Danio rerio: one gene and its partners. The protein of the gene in region 1 purifies or fractionates together with the protein of each later gene. This does not show direct contact. Links are inferred from orthologs where the notes say so. Each region holds a gene or a part of one and is shown in the gene's direction. Other genes may lie near its edges.

Region 1 (7,675 bases):
ATGACAAAAATGGGAAAACAGAAGCATCATCTTCTCAAACGCAGATAAATGGAGCACACAAACACATTTGAGTGACAGCCAGGAAGGATAAACAAGTGCAATGGTTGAACTTCAGAGTGAATACATCATGCTAAATGCTATTAATGTTGATTAAAACAATGATCACACACAATGCAAATAACTAAATGGTAATTCTATGGTACTTAATCCCATAGTAATAGTGACTAGGCATCATCAGAAGTAAAAAGCACAGTACTGCTGGGTTATTGACAAAAATATATTATATATCTATACAGAAGCGAAAGAAAACCATAGGAGGCATAACTCAGACAAAGGCACTGGAACCTAAAGGCAGCTGCTGTCAAAGTAAATGACTATAAGAGTCTCTGACCGAGGCGATTCTTCAGGGCCTTGAATAGTTGAAATTCTCAGCATACAACTTCCACTCTCGACAATACCAATTTAAAGTTAAGCTATGGATGGAATGTCTCTATCAAACCAAAGCATCAACAAAGTCAGCTCAGAGACTAAGGAAGCTCCTTACGTAAAACAAAATCACACACACACAGAGGGAAGATTGTCCAGTGAACTGTGCCTAACTAATGATTGGAACTGGTCCTTAAGTTGCATAAGGCCCTGTTAACAGCTGATATTAAGATGCGTTTCTGTCAATCTGATCACAAATGGACGATGATAAATGCATGTGTGAATGGAGGCTGAAACACTTTGTAAACTATCAACCACATCCAGAGGTAGTCCAAACACATAAATGTAGACGCTCATGTGGACAAATGCAAATAAAAATCAGATAAAAACACCTCATCCTCAACCTACCATTATAGTTAGTGTTGTTAAAGTACACTAACCAGGCATGATTTCAGCTAGTAAGTTTGGTTTGAAGGTGTTGAAGAAAAATATTAGACTTTTGGAATAACTTTAAGAACAAATGAAGGGAATGTATTTAATCATTTGCATGAAGCAAAATACGCTGTGTAAATGTAAATGTTTTGATTTGTTCCTTTTCCTGAGCAATTTTGTTCAGTTTCTGTGAAAAAAAGCCCTAAATTCTTTCATTCTGCACACCACTTCTAGTTTCTATAATGGTTTAAGTGCGCTTGAGCATATATAAATCAATAACAAACTGAGAAAACATCTTCATCCGTTTGACAACACAAAAGTCACAAGCCCCGCTGCTTCTTATTTAGAGTAGGGTTGTCACGATACCAAAATTCAATACCAGTCTGTACTGGAATTTTAAAAAACTGGAATTTTTCATTTTACTCAAACATTTGAGCGCTGTTGACCACTTTCTTAAACAGCGCTGATTTGCCATTGTGTTCACATGCTCAACAGAAATGACTGTTATTGGCCTTGAAGGCCATTGGTTTACCGAACTCACCACTGTTTACTGCGTGTAACCACAGATACAGGGACACTGGAGCGCTTTAAAGCAGCGATTCATCAACGGATCACTTGTATGTCAGCTTATAGACCAACCAGCTGATAGGCGCGACTATGAAATGCTCCAGTGTCTCTGTATCTGTGGTTACACGCAGTAAACAGCGATGAGTTTGGTAAACCTATGACCTTCATGGCCAATCACAGTCATTTCTGTTGAGCATGTGAACACAATGACAAATCAGCGCTGTTAAAGATTGTGCTTAACAGCTCTCAAATGTACGTGGAAAAAATGTATGTCAGTAAACTGCGATGAGTTCGGTGAACCAATGACCTTCACGGCCAATTACAGTCATTTCTGTTGAGCACTTGAACACAGTGGCAAATCAGAACGTGCTCAACAGTGCTCAAATGTTCGAGGAAAATGAACGTTTTTCAAATTCCAGCATCGTGACAATCCTACTTTAGGATGCAAAATTGTCAGAATTCTGAGTTTGTTTTGTTTATGTTAATGTCCTAATTGTATGATTTCTTGTTTGTTCCCCCCGACAAATTTCTGTTGTAGTCTGTGCTGTTTGCAGTGCGTTTCTGTATTTGTATGCCTTGTGAGAATTTACGTGCACATGTGTGTAGTCAAAGCGAAGATGTTTTTCTAATATTCATTAATTTTCTTTTCAGCTTAGTCCCTTTGTTTTCTTAATATGTTAGTGTTTTTCCTTATGAAAGGTTTTCTTAACTTGTAGTGCATTTCAGTATTTAGATGCGTTAAAATATTTGCGTGCATGTGTGTGAATTGAAGTGCATAACAATGTTTTTCTCAATTTGTTAGCATTTCTATTTGCAGTTTTTTTTATTTTTGTCTCTCAGCCACTGTAAGTTTTTTTTAAACACAGATTCACTTTTGGCTGTAAATGCATGAATTTGAGGATAAGATTTTAAGCTTTGATCTACAACTACCAGTAGTTCTCCTACCAGTCGTGACTCTAACACAAACCCAACAGCTTTCTGCAGTTTTGTAGCAGAAACAAAAGCTGCTGTTCTTTGCTCTCATTTTCCACTGTCTGCTATTATATTTCATTTAGATGTGCGAGCTTATTGCAAAGTATTACACTGAAATCCTCTAAAAAAATCAAGAAAGTGGTTCAAAGTGAACAAAACAGCTGGATTAAGCAGCAGGTATAACGGTGAATGTGTCTCCCTCGTCTACTTCTAATCAGATTGACCAAAATGCATCTTAACACCAGATGTAAACCAGTCCTTGTTCTGATCCCTCTTGTAAGAACAGAAAATGTCTTCTATAATAATAGAGAAACAATAAAGGTGCATTCAGCAATGGTACAAGTAAAAGTGACTTTTACAAAAGTGTGGCAAATATCATTCCAGGGGAGCAGCAGAAATGCACAGATTATTCAAGGCACAAGCAACCTGCACAATCTTATCAAAAGTGCTCACATTGGAAGTGCGGTCTACGACTGTAAAGGGGCTCTCCACTGGTCCAGTTAACATGGAATATCTCCTCTTAACAATGTCTATTACCTTTCCAACATGCATATGAGCAATCGCTTTATCTGATAGTGCTCCAACTGGCGAGAAATCTCCATCCAGTCCGCTCTGGCTATTTTCAAAGTAAGTGCTACTAGTGATTTTGAGTTCGGCTTTCCGAGCACCTACTAAGCCCCCAATGTCAAAGTCACGCTCTGCCAGAACAACATCACCAGGCAGGAGTTTACAGAGAAGGCCAGAACTCTCAACTAGACTCTTGTCGCTGACATGACCCGGAGATCCTCTGGAAACAAACGTGACTACACCCTGAGGAGCAACACCGATGACATATTTAAGCTCATTCACAGTGGACTGCACTGGTGTGGTCAATGCTGTAGATGCAACATCTTGATTTCCATCCACACTGAGAGCTCTTTCCAGAGACACCCTAAAGCAGTCAATGATCACCGCACAGTCTGGGTATGTGCAACACAATGCAGCTGGTAGATTTTTTCTGAGCTCTACTCTGGAGGGCCAAAAAACAGCAGTTGGCACAAGAGTGGTGAACATTATGTGAATAATCCGATGGACAGTCCTGGCCACTGTGGCAACCTTGACTCCAAAACGATAAGCCAAGTCTTGGTTTCTGAGATCCAGCTTGAGGCGCATTAGTGTCAAGAGAAGTTGCTGGAATTTGGAGAGTTTGACATTTTTGTCTCCTTTCATATGTGGAATGAGAAGCAACATGACCGTCTCGAACACAAAGTAGTTCGGCAATCCTGTGTAAAAGCGAACCTTCTCTGGATCATTCCTAAAGGAAGCCTCAGTGAGAGACATCTTATCTAGCGATTCCCTCAGCTCCATGTTTTCTTTCTTAAGAGCCTCGAGACTGGACTCATAGTCAGGGGGAATGTTTTTGACTGGTTGTCCTCTTTGGAGTACGCTTGTTTGTGAGATTTCTTCTTTTACAGCATCTTCAGTCTTAACATCCTCCTCGTCACAACTGCTCAGTGAAGAGGAAACACTCTCCGGCTCTTCTTGACTTGTCATCTGGCTATTTTCCTCCAAGAAACGCCCTTGTCCTTGCAAAAAGAGCAAAGCATTGGCGGCCTCCACTTGTGCCTCTTGTTTATCATACATTTCACAAGAACCTGCTTCTTTCATATTTGGGGAAAGTGGCGCTGAGGTGAAAACTGAAGGAACAAAATCAGGGGATCGAGGATTTTTCACTTGTTTTCCTGTAAATGGAAAAAAAAAACATTGATGTATTTAAGAGTGCATTCATGTTCTTTAAAAAAAACTAATAATTTATATAAATTAAAATGTTATGGTTTATAAGACACTTAAAAACAATGTGCAAATTCACCAGGCAACTCAATTTATAAGCGTTTCTTTGTACAACTTCAGTGCATCAGACAGTTTTAAAACACAGTATAAATCAGTAACTGTCCAAATCAAGCACAGACAATTAGTCTTTGATGAAGTCTAAATATTAAAATACACAAATGCAAACTCTTACAAGCAACTATCGTCTGATACAGTATTTTTACACATTCATCTAGTGGTTATAATGTGTTATTACATATAATCTGTTTTCTCCCTCCAGATGGCACCAATGGCTTATTAATATATATATATTTATACACAAACACACACATTATAATTATTTTACTATAGGGCATATTAAATTGTGTTGTATCAAGAAATATAAAAGAAAAACAGCGCATTCATTTTTCACATGTTAATTTAGTGAGCAATACCATGCGTTTACCCCCCCAAAAATAATAGCTTAGTCCACATTTGTATTGAACCCAAGCCCTAAAGTGCATTATAACAGTAAGAGTAATGTAGGCATCAGGCAGGGCTTCATCACCATTTAACACATTACTAGACATATTTACAACCATCACAGAGATTAGATTACTGCTAACCTACACATGCTATATGCACCACATAAGATGTTACCCTACCTGAAATGAAGTGTGTGCTGCAGAGTCTGCTGCCCTCGTTTGGCACCCACCCTTCACGATTCACAGCAGCGATCCAGCGCTGCTTCCGCTCCGGGTCGCGGGGAAACCTGTAAAAGGATAACGCGGTCCCTGGAGTTCTCCTGTTCCGACAACCGGCCACTACGCAAGTGTGCACCATATTAATGCCACCAAATTAGTGGACGTATTTGGTTTCCTGAACTAGTAATATTTACAATCTGACTCCCAAAATGGCGGTGGGGGAGAGTAGGCGACACGAGTGTGTCGTCATTTCACTAGTCGTAACCGGTCGGTCGTGATTGGTCCTCGCTGTCTTGGCTATGATGATATCATCTCACCGCGCCGCGATCGAGCGTTTACTGGCGTCGTGAACAGCGACTCATCGCTTATTCTTTCAACAAATAAGATAAAAATGGCTGTGGAATCGAGGGTCACACAGGAGGAGATCAAAAAAGAGCCAACAAAGCCAGTGGATAGAGAAAAGGTTTGTTTTCAGTTACTTCTGTTCGTCAGTGGCGCGAATATTCGTGCACAAACGAGGCGTCCTGCATGCTAAGCTAATTTGTAAATCTAACGCTAACTAAAAATGTAGGTACACAGAAACATTACAAAATATCTAGTTGCAACGTTATACTACAAATCGTATCTTAAACCGTGTGCATTCCTTTTAGACATTTGGCCTTTTTGTTTTATTTTGTACTCATTTTATCTGTTAATGTAGCATAGCGTACATTCTGGCAAATAAAAAGTTGCTTTTATTAAGCTTTTAATATATTTTACCCATTTTCTTATCAAGATTCTGTTTTGGACTGGTAAAAAAACGTCGACTAATATTTAACCATCCCAGTGCCATTTAAGTAAAAAGTCACATACTCTTTGTTAACAGGCTTCCATTTAAAAACGCAATTATATAAAAAATGTTTAACATTATATTTTTGGCACATTTCTTCAGTTTTGTTTTGGAGTAAAATTGAGCATGTTTTCATTTCAGGCCAAATGAACTAAAGTAATACAAATGTTGTTCTGATCGTCGACTTAAAGACAAATAACCTCTAAAAATCTGCACAGAAAAGTATATTTCTCATAAATCAATTTAGTGTTAAAACTACTTTTGTAGTTATTATCAGAATTGATGTTGGTTAAGAAATGAGATTACATCTGCACCAGTGGTTAGTGCGTCAACACATGCACTTCGGTGACCCGAGTTTGATTCCTGCCTAACGATCCTGTGCCAACTGTTTAATAACCATTATATTGGATGCACAGACACATCTGCATGTCTGATTGTTTTAAAAGACATTGTTATTAATACTTTCTACATGTGTTTGTTGTGCTCGTTGTGCAGACATGCCCACTTCTCCTGAGAGTGTTCACCACCAACAATGGAAGGCACCATCGCATGGATGAGTTTGCCCGGGGGAACGTGCCCTCTAGTGAACTTCAGATTTACACCTGGTAAGTATTATTATAAAACAGGCACTGCATCAATGATCAACTGAACCATACAATCCTGATTTGTATATGCCTTGGCTGCAGGATGGATGCTACTCTAAAAGAACTGACAAGCCTGGTGAAGGAAGTCTATCCGGAAGCTCGGAAGAAAGGCACACATTTTGGATTCGCCATTGTTTACCCAGACCCCAAACGACAAATCTACCGGTAATGAATACACAGTTCTTAATACTGTGTTAAGATTTGTTATGGATTTTTTATAACTCCACTGGCTTTATTGCAGGGTTAAAGAAATTGGCAACACAGTTTCTGGGCGCAAAGGTGCAGATGACTCGATGACGCTTCAGTCACAAAGCTTTCAGATCGGAGATTATCTTGACATTGCCATCACTCCGCCTAACCGCGCACCGCCTCTCCAAGGACGCATGAGGCCCTACTGACCTGAAACAACACTTGACTGCATTTAAATGAAAGGGGTGAAGTCTGTCTTCCTGCAGAGTTTAGTTCAGCCCTTGTCTGAGCTTTTCAGGTGAACTGCAAGACTTTGATTTGATCGAGTGTTTATGTCGGAACTAAACTCTGCAGGAAGGTTTATGCAGAATAGCAGCATGATTGAGCTGATAATCTCGATTTGGAAGTAAAAAGGAAAGTCTTTTCATATATTATGTTCTTTGTGGAGTTTTTTATCAGATCTACCTTTTTAGTTCTAGTCCTGTTAGCGTGATTCAAATCATTCATGAATAAATGTTTTTTTTTTTCAGTATCTTGTCTAAAGTCGTATCATTTATAAACCTTTTTTTAGTTAAATGAAGTATTCATTGTTTAAATAAATATTTCAATTTAGCAAGTAGATCTCAGAATGAATGCACTAATGATTAAGCTTTAGTAACTTTATAGTTGTCTCTAACTACTTTGTACTTTTTCCATGTAGTGCAGAATATGAAGATGTACAAGTTGGTACATTGTAAGTACACTTACAATTTAAAAGTATAGTATTCGCACAGTAAACTTTACCCCAACCCTACTATTGAACCGTACCTCACATTCAGTAGCAGAAAATGTGGGAAATTTCCAAAATAACATGTAGCTATAAAGTAACCATTTGGCCTTGTTGGCATTTGTATGTTCGTTTATTGTAGTTAGGTTAAACTGCAAAAGCATTTTGTCCATCTGGCTTTATCTACTGTAACTCAGGGGTGTCCAGAGTCAGTCCTGGAGCGCCAATGTCTTGCAAAGTTTAGCCTTAACCCTAATCAAACAAACCTGAACCAGCTAATCTAGTGCTTACTAGATGACCTGGAAACTTCATGGCAGGCGTGTTGAAGCAAGTTGGAGCTCAACTCAGCCGGAAACCG
Region 2 (7,692 bases), about 11 Mb from region 1:
GAAACACTGGCACATGCACTATTAACTTACATGTGCCCTAACATGCAACTGAATAATTGTTAATAGAGGATATTACAACTATTATTAGACAGTTATTATTTTGTAAACATTAGTCAACGGTAGCAAATGATTGCATTTAAGAACAGCTGAAATAATATACAATGCTATATAAAAAATTTTCAAACATGTTTGCAGGTGTGAAATGGTGTAGAGAAAATGTAGCATTTAGGGTCTTCTGTATTGTCCTAATTGTCATGCTCTGGCTAATTAAATTTAGAAAGGCTCTGACTAACCAGCTTTTGAAATGCAAATGGGGAGCTAAAAAAAAGCCAACTGTGAAGCAACCGGCCATGCAAATCAGACCACAAAAGCAGTCCAGACGTAAGCGGTTGTGTATTAGTGTAGTTCTTGGTTCACATAGTTCATCATTAACTACAAAATCATATGTTGCTGAGTGTTCTTTCATGCGGAGAAAATATAGCACTTCATGACATGTTCACCTGCCCTCCATTTGTCAAGACACAAATCACAAGGAGAGCATGATTGCTGATTCGCTGACCAGTCCAATCAAGTCAAGGGCAGTAGTAACACCCCATCCCATAAAATGTGTCCAACGTGTTTCAGATCAATCACTGAAATGCAATGGGATGGGGCTTTGCTCTATAAATGGCACAATATCTACTCAATGGAAAGAGAGGCAGCCAAATTCATTCATGTTAGCACAACTGTTGCCAAGAGCTGTTAAGCATGGCGTAACGGTGTCAGCCAATGGTGATGGAACAGTCACCATCAGACACTTGAGACGGCCTGCCTTATGCAACTGGTTTAAGCACTTGGCAGAGCCAAGCACTCGGTATGGGTACACTACGTCCCTGACCACAGGTAATAAACGTCACAGCTTAGCTAGTGACGTCAGATATGCAGCAGTCTTCTTTGAACTCATACCTGCAAAGGTGTCAGGAGAAAATTTAATAAAGGACTCACCTTTGGATTATATGCACATGAAGGGTGCCACTTCTAAAAGTTTACTGTTTCCCTAATAAAAACTACTGACTGTGTCTGATATGTAGCTAGTTTACAAAAAAAGCAGCTAAATACTGTTTGGGAGCAGCTTTTTCAAAAATTACAAACTCCCACTTTTCTGCAATTTCCCTTTAGTTGTATGTGATTTCAGAGCTGTATTAAATAAACACTAGCTGTATACAGCTCATTAACGGTCATTGCAAAAATGAGAAAAGCGCTTGCTAGATACACCTGGACAATTACATAATATCTTAACCTTGCTACTGACACTTTATCTGGCAACCAGATATGTGACTCCCACCCACCCAACCCTCCCTCTAAAGTTTTTTAAACACTTATTAGAGCACGTCAGAATGTTTAAACCATTGTTGAACTATTAATAAGGTCTTCATTTACATAAACTTGTCAAGTTGGCCTTAAACAGGATCCACTTGTAAGAGCGAAACTAACCGTCCAAATATCGTCAGAAGCTCGCGACTTACTTCACTGCGTTACTCAGTTTAGTCTTCAGATAACCGCACAGAGACAGTGCGAAACATTAAACCGTCTTTAATTACCTCACTCCACTCTTCCCTGGTGTTTCTCGACCGGCTGTGGACGGTAAGTTTCTGATACACTCCGCTACCGCTCTCCTCAAACACCGGGAGCCTCTCGCCATCTTCACTTCACCTCTCTTTCGCCTCCTCCCGTCGAGAACTCTTTTCCCGTCTCGAAGACCAGCCCTCTCGAAGACCCGTCCTACAATGTCATTGGCCGAGGCTGTTTTTCACGGCCTCTGATTCGTTGAGTCGTCCGTCCGTCATCGATGACACTCACTGACGTAAGTGTTTTAATTGTGCAGAGGGTTTGCGTGCGCAGAATTGTCACGGGATGCAGGATAGGGTTGCCCAGACTGCGCGACCTACAGTGCATAGTTAGTAAAGGTTACTGCTAAATTTGTTTGAGGACACAGTCAGTGTAAACGAATTAATAAGTTTTGCTTACTATAAAGTATTATAATTAACAAATATGTAAATTAAATAATATTTATGCATATCTGTCCAGTTAAGTTACAATGAAATTGCTACTAAACTACTGTTGCCATTACTGTTATCGTCACAGAATTTGATAGTAATATAAGTTAGTCCTAAGTCAATTAAATATAATATGGAGCAGTTTTTCACAATGTAAAGTAATTACACATGTATACATTTTAAACTTCATGATAATAAAGACAAAATATAATCATTTTTGTGCAAAAGACCCCATCCTAAAATGTAAGACACCCAGACCACATAGTTTCTGGAATAAATACCAAATTTATACATTGAACATGTTGAACATACTATAAATAGATCTAAAATAGTATTTGGAATATGCTTATGTTTCTATTATGTTACATTATTAAATATTTACTTATTTTTTATTATTTAAATTATTAATTATTACTACTATATGTACTAGTTTCTCCATTCCTTCCCCCAAACATTTCCATAGAACCCCTAGCTAAAACTTCCTTAACTCAAATTTAAAACCCCCTGATTATGTAACCATACTGCTTTTTAAAACTGCAGTCAAATCTGTCTTACATGCGCCTGTAACATAAGCATTCAAAACAACAGAGAGCACGGTTTTTATGTAATACTATTTAAAATATTTAAGCTAAAATGACCGTAGTGCATGTGTTTGAATGCAAGAGGGCTTCCTAGTGTTGTGTTGCTGGAAGGGCATCCGCTGCATAAAATATATGATGGATAAGTTGGCGGTTCATTCCTCTGTGGAGACCCCTGATTAATAAAGGGACTAACCCCCCCCAAAAAAGAAAATGAATTAATGTTTCGAAAGAGACACAAGTAAACTTGTCCTGTTCTCATTCCTCCTGAAAAAAGTTTGGTCTTTGCCACATAAATATGCTATTAATTAAGTTGTTTGGTTCATAAATAGCCTTATTCCATTTTATCTTGTTAATCTATACCTTAGAGTCTCTAACTAAAAACAACAAGCAAACATTTGGAAAATCCTCCACTCCGTTGTGGCTCTTTCCTCAAGCAGAGCGGGGGGTAAACTTAACAAGAGAATGCTGTCACTTGCCAGCTGTGTTGACGCCTAGTGCTTGTGCTCTGCGCATGTGCGTTATTTTCTGCCGCAGAGAATGCGCATGCGCGTTCTTGTAAACGAGACGCTGTCGTGAAAGGCCTTCCGGTAGTGAGGCTTACACAACAGCACGAAAATGGCGCAGATCGCCAAAACACATGATGGTGAGTTTAGGTTTCAAATATTTGCAAGAAGCATGTCTCGTTTTGTAGTTTTTTATATATTGCATTTTGTGCTTAATGCCACTTTTTATTTAAAAGAAGTGCATTAAGCGAGAAATGAGCAGGATTAGAACTGGCTAAGCCCGTGAATAGAATATGGCGTCTGGTCGTTGAATAAAACCTGGCCGTGGCGCACATATAAAATATCAGCGCTTTTTCCGCATTAAGAGTTTTTTTGTGGATTATAGCAGAGCTAATTGTAATATACAGTGCTAGAAAATAGCATTAGCATGTGTCTGTTTTGTCTATGTAGACTACGTAATGTGAAGATGTACTGGTTAATCAGTGATGTATTGAAACCAAAATGGCGTTGCAAACACAAACAGAGCTTTTCCATTATGTAGGTATGTTCATAGACGTTTACTTGTGATAGTGTGGTTATTTATTTTATTTTTGTAGAGATGTAACTTGTATTCATTGTTTAACGTTTGGCATTTTCCATGTTTATGTATAACACATGGCCGTGGGTGATTGTCCTGCAACAGTCATTATGTTAAGCGGGCTTACGCACTTTTGTTATATTAATACATTATGCAATGTTTTTATGACAATACCTAAGTAATAATAAAATATAAGTTACATCTCCCTTCACGTATTAGTTATAAATATTTGTAAGGATTTTATATGTATGTAGGGACTTCTTTTTGTCTTAATATTGTGCATGTATGGTTTACAAATCATTGTCTTAAATTGAAGAGTTAGGATTCAAAAATCTCTAAATGCCAACTTGTCTCCTAAAATGAGAATTTTGTTTCAGCCTCCTTGTTATTTCACTTTAAAGTCAATGAAAATAACTTATTCATTACTATAACAGTAACATTACTGAGCCTACACACAGGAGTTAGAGAAAAATGCTAATTGAAGAAGAATATCAAGCGGCATGTAGAGATTTTTTGCATATAAAACTCATCGATTGTTGATTTTAATAATATAGTTTCAGAAAAAGAATTTTTGCAAATTCTTAGTAGGGAAGGCATATGACTGTCAATTAAATAGTGCTACTGTTTTTTTTATTATTCTTTAGGGTTAGATTAAATCTCTTGTGTTAGTTTAGACTGAATATTCATAGCACAGTAAACAATATACAGGCCATAATATAAATATAAAAATATAAAACCAGATTTACCTTAGTTTGTTCTATTAATAGAATATGCAGTTTAATGTCAGTGTGTATTAAAGGTTCCGACTGTATGATAACCTTGGATAAAAGTTTGCAATTACTGCTCTAAAATAAGTTCTTTTTAAATATCTGTTAAAAAACAAAAACATTTCACTTTGAACACAATATATATATATATATATATATATATATATATATATATATATATATATATATATATATATATATATATATATATATATATATAGGTACAGACTTCATTAGTTAAAAAAAAAAACAGATTTCTTTAAAATTTAAATTTGGCATCTTTGGAGATTTTTTTTCTGCTAGAGATACTGTTGTCCTAAAAAAACGAAACGTAAAAAAAATCCTACGTTACAGAAAAATTTGGTGTTTTTTTTTAAACCTTGACATTTCCAAACCACGGTATACCTTGAAAAAGGTTATTGTCCCATGCCTAACATGTATAAAAGTGACGTTAGTGATGGTGGAAAATGACTTCCAGGTCACCTCACCTATTATAATATTAGTTAAAATGTTTTTTGTTATTTTTAGAGGACTAATCTCTGGTTGTTGTTTTTTGTTTTTGTTGTAGACATTGAGGCTCAGATCCTGGAAATCCAGGGGAAGAAAGCCGCTCTGGTGGTGGAGGGCGGTGACCAAGGAGTTGGCCTTGATTCCACTGGGTATTATGACCAGGAGATCTACGGGGGCAGTGACAGCCGCTTTGATGGGTATTTGACTTCAATTGCTGCCAATGAGCAGGAGGATGTAAGTTATAGCATAACGCTCTTAAAAGTAAAACAAAAAATACAACTCCATTGTGTATAAGAATTCTGTTTAGTTTCTTGAACCTAACCCCAACTATTTTTATTTTAGGATGATGACGAGGATTCATCTACAAGTCTCCTTGTACAGAAGAAACCAGGATATCATGCTCCGGTTGCAATACTCAACTCAATTCCTCAGTCAGATGAGCAGGTAATTTAACAGACTTTCCACCTTCAAGTTGCAGTGTGTGTGTGTGTGTTTTCTTGTGAAGTTTTTGTATGTGTTTTTGAAATGTCAATTTCGAATTGATCATACAATTGTTTGTACCCATTTTGCAGTATGATCCCTTTGCCGAACACAGACCGCAGAAAATTTCAGACAGGGAGGATGAATACAAGAAGCGCAGACAAAAGATGATCATCTCCCCAGAGCGTCATGACCCGTTTGCTGATGGTAAATTTCACACTACCATTCTCCTCTGCTTATTTTATTTGCCCATGCCAATCAGTATTTATGTTCTCTGCCCATGACGATCCGGTGCAGACCGGCCTTTTTTGCTGCTTAACCCTTCGAACACCACCCAACTGCTTGCTCCCTGGACTGATCTGTAAAGGCCCTGATATGTGCTCAGCGAAGTCTTTGAATTTTTCTTAAAACTTTCATTTAAGGATAAAATAAGTGTAAAATACTTGAACAGTTCTGTTCTGTTAGTAAATTCTAAACCACTCAGGCCACTCTTTATAATAATATATGGTGTACTGCACGTTTAACAAAATAAATATAAATTATAGAATTAAGAATACAGCATCTAATAATGAGGATATTTATATGGGATTTACAGTTCAATCAAAAGATTTACTGTATATCTGTTTATACATTAAATCATTTTAAAGGAAGCGGCTTTACAGTATTAAACGTGACAAACAACAGTGCCAGTGTTGCAACTTCAAACGAACTTAAGATTTTATTCGAAAGTAGTTTTGAGTTCTTTGTTCTTCAATTTCATTTAAGCAATATCAGGGCCTTAAAGGGATAGTTCACGCCAAAATGAAAACTTTCTTACTATTTACTCACCCTCAAGAGGTTTCAAAGATTTTTTTTCTCTAGAACACACAAGATGATATTTTGAAGAAAGCTGAGAATCTGTAACCATTGACTTCCATAGTTGGAAAAACAAACACTATGTAAGTCAAGGGTTGCAGGTTTCTAATGTTTTTCAAAATAAAGGTTTGAAACAAGTCATTCAAAACATAATTTTTGGGTGAAATATCCCTTTTAAGACTGTCTCAGTAAGGCATAAGTGGATAAATGAAATGTACTGAAAAATATTGATGATGGATTTATATGTGTACTTGTTTAAGTTGGGCAGCAAAGATTTTGGGAGACGGTTGGGTGGTGTCATTGGTCCCATCATGGCATAGGTTGCAGGTAGGTGTGTTGTTCGAAGGGTTAATGTTTTTAATGTGTGAAACAGATGATACAGTAGTCAGGCAACTTAAACACAGACACTGTGTAGTATATGAAAAGTTTCTAATTGCCAGAGACAGCATACTGTCAGATTTATTTTTCCCCCCATACTATTGCCTGCATATTTTTCAATGGTTAGACACCCCTGATGTGTCAATGTCAGTAATGATTCCCAATAAGAGTGGAGCTTTAAAGCCCTGTGAAGCCAAATTTAACTCCATTTATGTTGTCCAGATAATTTAGTATCTTAAAACCGATGGCCTGTGGGTGCTCATACCAGTACAATTTTACAAGAAGTTTAGATCATGTTTAAACAGGCTGCACACTCACAAAACTGACTCACTTGGGACCAAATTATGGGAGGGCAATAATTCTGGATCAGGCAAATCATCTTGCATGTAGTCCCAGACAGAGGAAGCTTTACAAAAACTGTTGTGTAAATATATTTCTATTTTATAATGATAAAATAGAGATATATCTATTGAAGAATCTGTGTACCAAGATTCCACAGGCCCATACTAACTGTCCTTAATTTCTCTCCTACAGCAGTACTGCTATGCCAGTCCTGTCTGCACTCTCTTAAGGGTGCAGCAACTCGTCCTGTGTAGGTTATGGTCAACAAAAAGAAGCGTGTTTATCAGATAAATCAAGACCATAGTTAGTAGTTTTTGCTCTGATGTGAGGCCAGAGAGCCTTTCGGGGGAATGCACCATGATTTCATCAAGCTATTTTATTGATTTAGTTTTACTTTTGTTATGTTTCACATTATTTTTAAAGCCTCATCGGGGACTTTTTTTAAATTCCATATTCACTTTTTTCATTTCAACTTACTTTTAGACAAATTCATCTTAGTTTAAATTTTATTTAATCTAACCAGATGCACACAAGTGTGCTTTAAGTCATTGATTAGTTTCTGATATTTTGTTTCTTTTCTGATTTGATTAGAACTCCCCAATGTGTTCAGTGTCTTTGACTGTAACACCTATAGTTTATTAAATGTATATGATTTTTAAGTCG
Region 3 (7,592 bases), on another chromosome or scaffold:
CTATCAAACTCTCAATAAAGTTGACCGACTGTCTTTTCTTGTAGAATGACGGCCGCCTGCGCTTCAGTAAGCAGACAGTGGTGTATAAAAACAGTAAGACCGGGAAGGTGGACACTATTCCGGTCCCTGAACTCACTCAGGCCCAGTGGAGGAGAGTCTGTCTGGGTCACGGCATCAAACTATGGACCAGCACTGGCCACATCTACAAATATGATGGCTTTAAAGACGCAGTGAGTCTGAGATGCAAATTACAGATCAATTGATCACTCAGTTTGATCCGCTGTTTCATTCCAGGTCTTAAATTTTCATCCGTTTCTTTTTGCGCAGGACCTTGAGAAGATCTCAGAATACTTCAAAGACAACTACAAAGTGGAGCTAACAGAGAAAGACATGTGTGTTAAGGGCTGGAATTGGGGCACTGCTAAATTTAATGGTCAGTGCATTCCTGTTGCAACGCTTTTTGTCTGAGATATTCAGTTAAAGTCAGAATTATTAGCCATTCTGAATTATTAGCCCCCCTGTTTATTTTTTCCCCCAATTTCTGTTTAACAGAGAGATTTTCTCAACACATTTCTAAACATAATAGTTTTAATAACTCATTTCTAATAACTGATTTATTTTATCTTTACCATGATGCCAGTAAATAATATTTAACTAGATATTTGTAAGACACTTCTATACAGCTTAAAGTGACATTTAAAGGCTTAACTAGGTCAATTAGGTTAACTAGGCAGGTTAGGGTAATTAGGCAAGTTATTGTATAGTGATGGTTTGTTCTGTAGACCATCGGACACAAATAGCTTAAAGGGGCTAATAACTTTGTCTTTGAAGTGTTTTTAAAAAATGTAAAACTGCTTTTCTTCTAGCCAAAATACAACAAATAAGATTTTCTCCAGAAGAAAACATTATCAGACATACTGTGAAAATTTCATTGCTCTGTTTTAACAAACAGGTTTGTTACTAGAATGGTCAGGCAGGCAACAGTCAACAGGGTAAAACAGATACATACAGAGAATCCAGAGTCGTGGTCATAGAACAGGCGAATGGTCGGAACAAGCAGCAAAGAATCAAAACAAAGAGACAAAGGGTTAAAACACAGCTAGGCTAAACAGGGAGAAAACACGTCGTAATGCTCACAGATAAACAAGACTCAAAAAAGTGTGTGTGTGTGTGTGTGTGTGTGTGTGTAATCAACAGAGAACTGGAACAGGTGTGTGTGAGGTGCATGACAGGATTCGTTGGTCTAGATCGCTGGTGATTGTGACAGTAGTGACCTTAAACACTGTTTTTTAGTATGTTTGTCTTCCAAAAGTATGGAGCAAATAATATGGAAAAACAATCTGAATTTAAATTGTGCAAATTTGAATCACAATAGCAATTGTAATTTAATAAAATTTAATATTAAATGCTATTAAACTGTTTGAATTTGAATTTCTTAACTTGAATATTGAACATCTGAAATTTAAGACAACTGAATTTTTTCAGATTTCTATTGACGTATTTTCAAACTTCAGATTTTTTCGTTCTAAATTTATAGATTGCAGATATTGAGCTTGTGAAAATACAGTTTTGAGTTTTCAAGATGAAGAAATTCAGAGCATCGAATTCAATATTTTAAATTTTAAAACCAGAAAATCAGATTGTGAAATTCAGATTTAGCAAAAAGTAGGTCAGGGGTCATCAACAGTGAAGAAAATTCAGATTGTTTTGGCATATTATTCGCTCCATATCAAAGAACCTTTCGATGAACATATCTTTAAAGCTTTTTAATAATCAAAAGCAAAATAACACTATAAAAATAGGTTTCTTGTATGTTATGTATGGTGATGTGAATCGGTAATTGTAATTAAAATGTTTGATTTTTTTAACTAATTATAAAAATGTAATAAATACAAAAATACATATTATTAAACATGATGTAGCTAATTCAAGGTAAATACATAATGTTGTAGTGTAAATGTTGTAAATACTCAGGCTGTTGGAGCACTAAGAGCAGGACATACAAGATGTCTTACAAGATGTTCTCGCCTCGCCTTTTCGCCAGCTGACTTTATTGTAAGACAAAATAAGCAATGCATTCTGTGTAGCATTTTACTTTCAATTGTAATTACAATTTGCTTTAGATTTTTTTCAATTAATTATAAAAATGTAATAAGTCCATAAAATATATATTATTGTGATACTATTGCACAGTATATAACAGTAATATTATTTTTATAATAATACAATTAATATAATTTTAATAAATATACATTGTGTAAATAAACGTAATTACATTATTAATAACAACAGTGCCATTACAAAGCTTAGATTTATAGTTGTTGTTTTTTCCTTGCTTTCAAAAATGTTTTCATTTTAGACCCTGCTTAATGGGACAGTGGATATATCGGCTCATTTATTCATTTTCTTTTTTGACTTGGTCCTTTTATTAATCTGGGGTCGCCACAGTGGAATGAACCACCAACTTATCCAGCATATGTTTTATGCGGTGGATGCCCTTCCACCTGCAACCCAACATTGGGAAACACCCATACACTCTTATTCACACCCATACACTATGGCCAATTTAGCTTATTCATTTCACCTGTACCGCATGTCTTTGGAGTCTGGACTGTGGGGGAAACCAGAGTACCCCGGAAGAAACCCATGTGAACATGCAAACTCCACACAGAAATTCCAACTGACCCAGTCGTTTGTCGAACCAGTGATTTTCTTGCTGTGAGGCGACAGCACTACCCACTGCGCCACCTATTTATTCATTATTTATTTATTCATTATAATGCAACAAATAGTAAAAGAGGCTTACAGTATCAAGCTCTATGCAAGTAAAAATTTATTTCTATATTTCTATATATATATTTATATGTATGTATGTGTGTGTGTGTGTGTGTCAATTATAATAGTAATGATACATTTTTAAAGCATAGTTTGGTACATTTTTAAGTTGTTGACCTGTTGACCACAATATATAATGAAATACTTTATATAGAAACAGTAAAGGCTGCTCTCTGTCCCTCTGTAACTCTGTCAGGGTTGCTAAAGCAGAAAAATTTATATACTGTCGTCATTTGGCACAGGTCTACTTCCTTCTGATACAGCCAAGCACTGAACGTTACCCCAGGGCCGAACAATGAAACACTGTTAATAACTAACCATGTTCAAGCTTTGTATTTTATTAAACTCAGCTTAAAAAATCGGCCTCATCTATGTGTTAAACTGCTCTCCTGTGTATTTTCAGGGCCGTTGCTTTCCTTTGACGTGAATGACAGCCCTACATTTGAGATTCCTCTCTCCAGTGTATCCCAGTGTACGACGGGTAAGAATGAGGTGACAGTGGAGTTTCATCAGAATGATGACACAGAGGTGTCTCTCATGGAGGTGCGCTTCTACGTCCCACCCACCACAGGGGACGAGGGTTCAGACCCGGTAGAGGTAAGAGTGTGCATGTTCATCCCAGTCTAACACTGACCAGCAGATGGCGCAGGTTACCAAGAGATCAATTCCCCTAAAGCAGGAGCCTTTTTTAGTCTTAAAATTAGAGATGCCCAAATATAACCATCACCATTGGGTCCTTGTATGAAGATTTCATTTATAAAGATGCAAGTAATATTTGCGTACATTTAGTGAAATATTATTTGGAAAATATAATTTTTACTCAATATACCGTTAGACGGATAAAAAATTAAACAATATATAAAATGACAAAATAAAAACATGAAAAATAAATAAATACTACATTTTTAATTATAACTAAGAATTAAAGTTGAAGTCAGATTAGCCCCCCTTTGAATTAGTTTTTCTTCTTTTTTACATATTTCCTAAATGATGTTTAACAGAGCAAAGAAATTTTCACAGTATGTCTGATAATATTATTTATTCTGGATAAAGTCTTATTAGTATTATTTTGCCTACAATAAAAGCAGTTTTTAATTTTTTAAAGACCATTTCAGGGACAAAATTATTAGCTCCTTTAAGCAATTTTTTTCCCAATAGTCAACAGAACAAACCATCGTTATACAATAACTTGCCTAATTACCCTAACCTGTCTAGTTAACCTAATTAACCTAGTCGAGCGTTTAAATGTCACTTTAAGCTGAATAGAAGTGTCTTGAAAAATATCTAGTAAAATATTATTTACTGTCATCATGGCAAAGATAAAATAAATCAGTTATTAGAAATGAGTTATTAAAACTATTATGACTAGAAATGTGTTGAAAAAAAATCTTCTCTCCGTTAAACAGAAGTTGGGGGGGGAAAAAACAAGCTGTCTAATAATTCAGGGGGGCAAAAAATTCTGACTTCAACTGTAATACAATACATATCAACTGAGTTGTATTTATTTATTTTAATTAGTTCATTATATCTTTTTTTTTTATTTTGTTTATTCATTTATTGGCTCTATCCCAACTTAAATGGCCATGTCTAATTAAGGTATGTTCTAAAACTTGTAGTTAAAAATAAAGTTGCAGTTACATAAAAGTACACAGCAGGTGATACTGAAATTCATTTCTGTGTCACAAATCAATCAGTTTCTGTCAAAGCATTTAGTACGTCTATTACAAAACAGACACTAAATATGGAGTCCTGATTGTCAAATGCATGTTTATGTCCTTTTTCAAGATTAAATAAATTTTAAGATTATAAAATAGTCTAGTGCATTTTGTAATATGAAGATTGACACCTACTGGGGGGTTGGTTGGGACAATCTAAAAGCTTTAAATGTGGCATATACAAAAGTAATGATTTCATAAAGGATATTTATTTTTAAAGCTTTTGAATGATCATTAAAATATTGTCACTTTAGAGTTATAAGATTCTATCTGACATTTTTGTCAAAATTGAGTTATTCACATATTCTTATTAAATGACAACTTATTTACATTATGGAATGTTTTTTTAGTTGCTTACATTTGAAGAGGTTTTATTTACAAAACTACAAAGTCGAACTCTGTCTTGGCTTTATAAGTTTTTTTCTGTGAGCCATTCTTATGCACCCACGAGGACTAATCAGGAACAGCTTTCTTTGTCATTTCGCCAGATTGCTCTGTCGACAGCTGGAAAGACCAGAAGGAAACACAATACAAGTCGACTAAATTATGCCGCACCTCACAAAATTAAAAAGAAACCTGAAACTGAAAAGATGTGTGTAAATGTGATGATTTAGAAGCAGGTTCAATTTTACATTGTTGAAAAAGAAACAGTTATTTAAAAAATGTAATATATTAAATGTGAAATATTTTTATTTGTGTATATATTGTCAGTGAAACATTTTTCAGTGTTTATTAAAACTCATTCACTCATTGTCTGCGTTTTTTTAGAGTCTTTAAATTTAATCTTAAACCTCGAAGGGCAAATATTAGATAATTTAATTAATGCGGCATATAATTCAATAAATATAATTCAATTATTTTTATAAAGCATATATTCAATAAATATTACCATATTAATTACATTTACTCTTAAAAATGCTAGGGGTATTTCAGCCTTATGCTGGGTGTAATATGGACTAAACCAACTGCAGAGTTAATTTTTTAATTAAATAAATAAAGACTAAATTAAACCCAATGCTTGAGTTAGTCCATATTTTACCCAGTTTGGGTGTAAATAACCTAGCAATTCTTAGTGTACAATTAACAGCTGCACTGGACAAAATATTTAGCACAGCCTTGTATGGTTCATTTGAACAAGAAACAAGTTTCATCCTAAAACATTAAATAAAGTCATAGAAAGCAAAAATATAACAACAACTTAATAAAACATACCAGTTTTTATTTTTTAAATTAATAAGCAGACTGATCGTATTTTTGAAAAGCAATGCTTCAATTATTGATCTGCTAGATAGAACCTTATAATTCTAAGCAGAATAAGACTTTTTAGAATTACAAGGTTCTGCATCTGCATTCACCCAGTTTTTTTTTTAAGACAATTTTGATATTTTACATTTAGAGTACATTTAGGCTCTCTGTCATGTTAATGTAAGAAAGAGAACTGTTACATGCATATTGTTTCCTATATGAAATGCGAAAACTTCGAAGCTCAATATCTCAAAATCATTAGAACGCAGATAGAATCTTACAATTCCAAGGTGACGAAATGTTATAAGGCAGGGGTCACCAATCTCGTTCCTGGAGGTCCGGTGCCCTGCAGGGTTTAGCTCCAACTTGCCTCTACACACCTGCCTAGGTGTTTCAAGTATACCTAATAAGACCTTGATTAGCTTGTTCAGGTGTGTTTGATTAGGGTCGGAGCTAAAATCTGTAGGACACCGGCCCTTCAGGAACAAGTTTGGTGATGCCTGTTATAAGAGAAAAGACTTCAAGCAATGGGACACGTCTAAACATTTGCGTAAAACCTCTGTCCCTCTTCTTGTAGTCCTACTGTACAATATTTATATCTGTAAATCCCGCTTAATCTGAGAAGTAATGAAAACCGTTATGTTTCAGGCATTTGCTCAGAATGTGCTGTCGAAGGCAGATGTCATCCAGGCCACAGGAGATGCTGTTTGTATCTTCAGAGAGCTGCAGTGCCTCACGCCTAGGGGCAGGTACATACATACACACATCTGGATACTCTCATCATACTTTTTGGTTGTTTATTTAACATAAAAATGTCAAAGGTGTGAACTGGCATTGTGTGATTTGATTTTTCTTGCTCTCTCTTTAGGTACGATATCCGTATTTATCCAACATTCCTTCATCTACACGGTAAGACATTTGACTACAAGATCCCGTACACCACAGTGCTCCGCCTCTTCCTGTTGCCTCATAAAGACCAGCGGCAAATGTTCTTCGTGGTGAGTGGAGGATCATGGTCTATAAAGCAATCTTTTATTTGGATCTGGAACCATTAATATTACCTTTACTTAACCTTTGATACATTAAAAAAATCTTCTTAATTTATATTATTTTTTATTATATTTCTTTCATAATTTATATTTCTTTCATTCTTTCAAAGATAGCCCTTTTTATTATTGCGGTTGTGATTATTATTGCACAACTCCCTGCATTATGGCTATTACATGTATTTTTTATGCTCACTGTGATATGCTAATTGTCATATCATATTTTTTTGTGTTCACAAATTTAAAACTATACAAATTTGATGGATCTGGATCCATTTTTTCTAGCTAGTATTAAACAGCTTTATCATAGCATTCATTTATTTTTGTTGTGTGTTGTCAATATATATAGTAAGACAGGGTGGTAACTACTTGAAGAGGTGTTCATAAGACTGTCATGACACCCTAATTGTGCGATCACCCCAAAAGCGGTGAGAGCGTCTAAGGTCACTCTGGCTGCCCTAGCGACAACGCTGTCTGCCTTCAGCTCTGGCGGCGAGAGTGTCAAAATTCAAAACATTGATCTGATATTTAAAGGGGCCGCTGCAAGATTATATCAGTTACATTCCTGCATAAAACATGCTTTCTAGCGGGAAATTGTTGCGCAGTTCTTTTTAAATTTATTTAACCATGGAAGATCAAGTTACATGTGATGTGGCTTTGCTCCACTTAATTATCCATTGTGTCTATATGTCTGAAATATCCTGAAGCAGCAGTACTGTTTTGTACTGTCGCATGAGATTCCTGCTTTTTT

Evidence for each region.
Region 2: the proteins of sap18 (region 1) and sf3b1 purify together in Homo sapiens (co-immunoprecipitation; 3 studies listed by BioGRID and IntAct, with this or other methods). This does not show direct contact. The link is inferred for Danio rerio from reciprocal best matches to the Homo sapiens genes SAP18 and SF3B1.
Region 3: the proteins of sap18 (region 1) and ssrp1b fractionate together in Homo sapiens (co-fractionation; 3 studies listed by BioGRID and IntAct, with this or other methods). This does not show direct contact. The link is inferred for Danio rerio from reciprocal best matches to the Homo sapiens genes SAP18 and SSRP1.

What each region holds. Positions count from the first base shown.
Region 1 is NC_133184.1:22,881,542-22,889,216, reverse strand, and holds sap18 (histone deacetylase complex subunit SAP18), read left to right. Parts: upstream 1-5,165; 5' UTR 5,166-5,280; coding exon 5,281-5,352; intron 5,353-6,213; coding exon 6,214-6,323; intron 6,324-6,404; coding exon 6,405-6,527; intron 6,528-6,603; coding exon 6,604-6,760; 3' UTR 6,761-7,083; downstream 7,084-7,675. Other genes in the region: uncharacterized protein zmp:0000001333, read right to left, coding at 2,773-4,118, 4,851-5,028. UniProt on the Homo sapiens protein: Component of the SIN3-repressing complex. Enhances the ability of SIN3-HDAC1-mediated transcriptional repression. When tethered to the promoter, it can direct the formation of a repressive complex to core histone proteins.
Region 2 is NC_133184.1:33,852,692-33,860,383, reverse strand, and holds the start of sf3b1 (splicing factor 3B subunit 1), read left to right. Parts: upstream 1-3,206; 5' UTR 3,207-3,232; coding exon 3,233-3,260; intron 3,261-5,032; coding exon 5,033-5,208; intron 5,209-5,316; coding exon 5,317-5,418; intron 5,419-5,546; coding exon 5,547-5,661; intron 5,662-7,221; exon of another isoform or gene 7,222-7,279; intron 7,280-7,692. UniProt on the Homo sapiens protein: Component of the 17S U2 SnRNP complex of the spliceosome, a large ribonucleoprotein complex that removes introns from transcribed pre-mRNAs.
Region 3 is NC_133176.1:47,971,301-47,978,892, forward strand, and holds part of ssrp1b (FACT complex subunit SSRP1), read left to right. Parts: intron 1-44; coding exon 45-230; intron 231-327; coding exon 328-433; intron 434-3,238; coding exon 3,239-3,432; intron 3,433-6,443; coding exon 6,444-6,544; intron 6,545-6,663; coding exon 6,664-6,793; intron 6,794-7,592. UniProt on the Homo sapiens protein: Component of the FACT complex, a general chromatin factor that acts to reorganize nucleosomes. The FACT complex is involved in multiple processes that require DNA as a template such as mRNA elongation, DNA replication and DNA repair.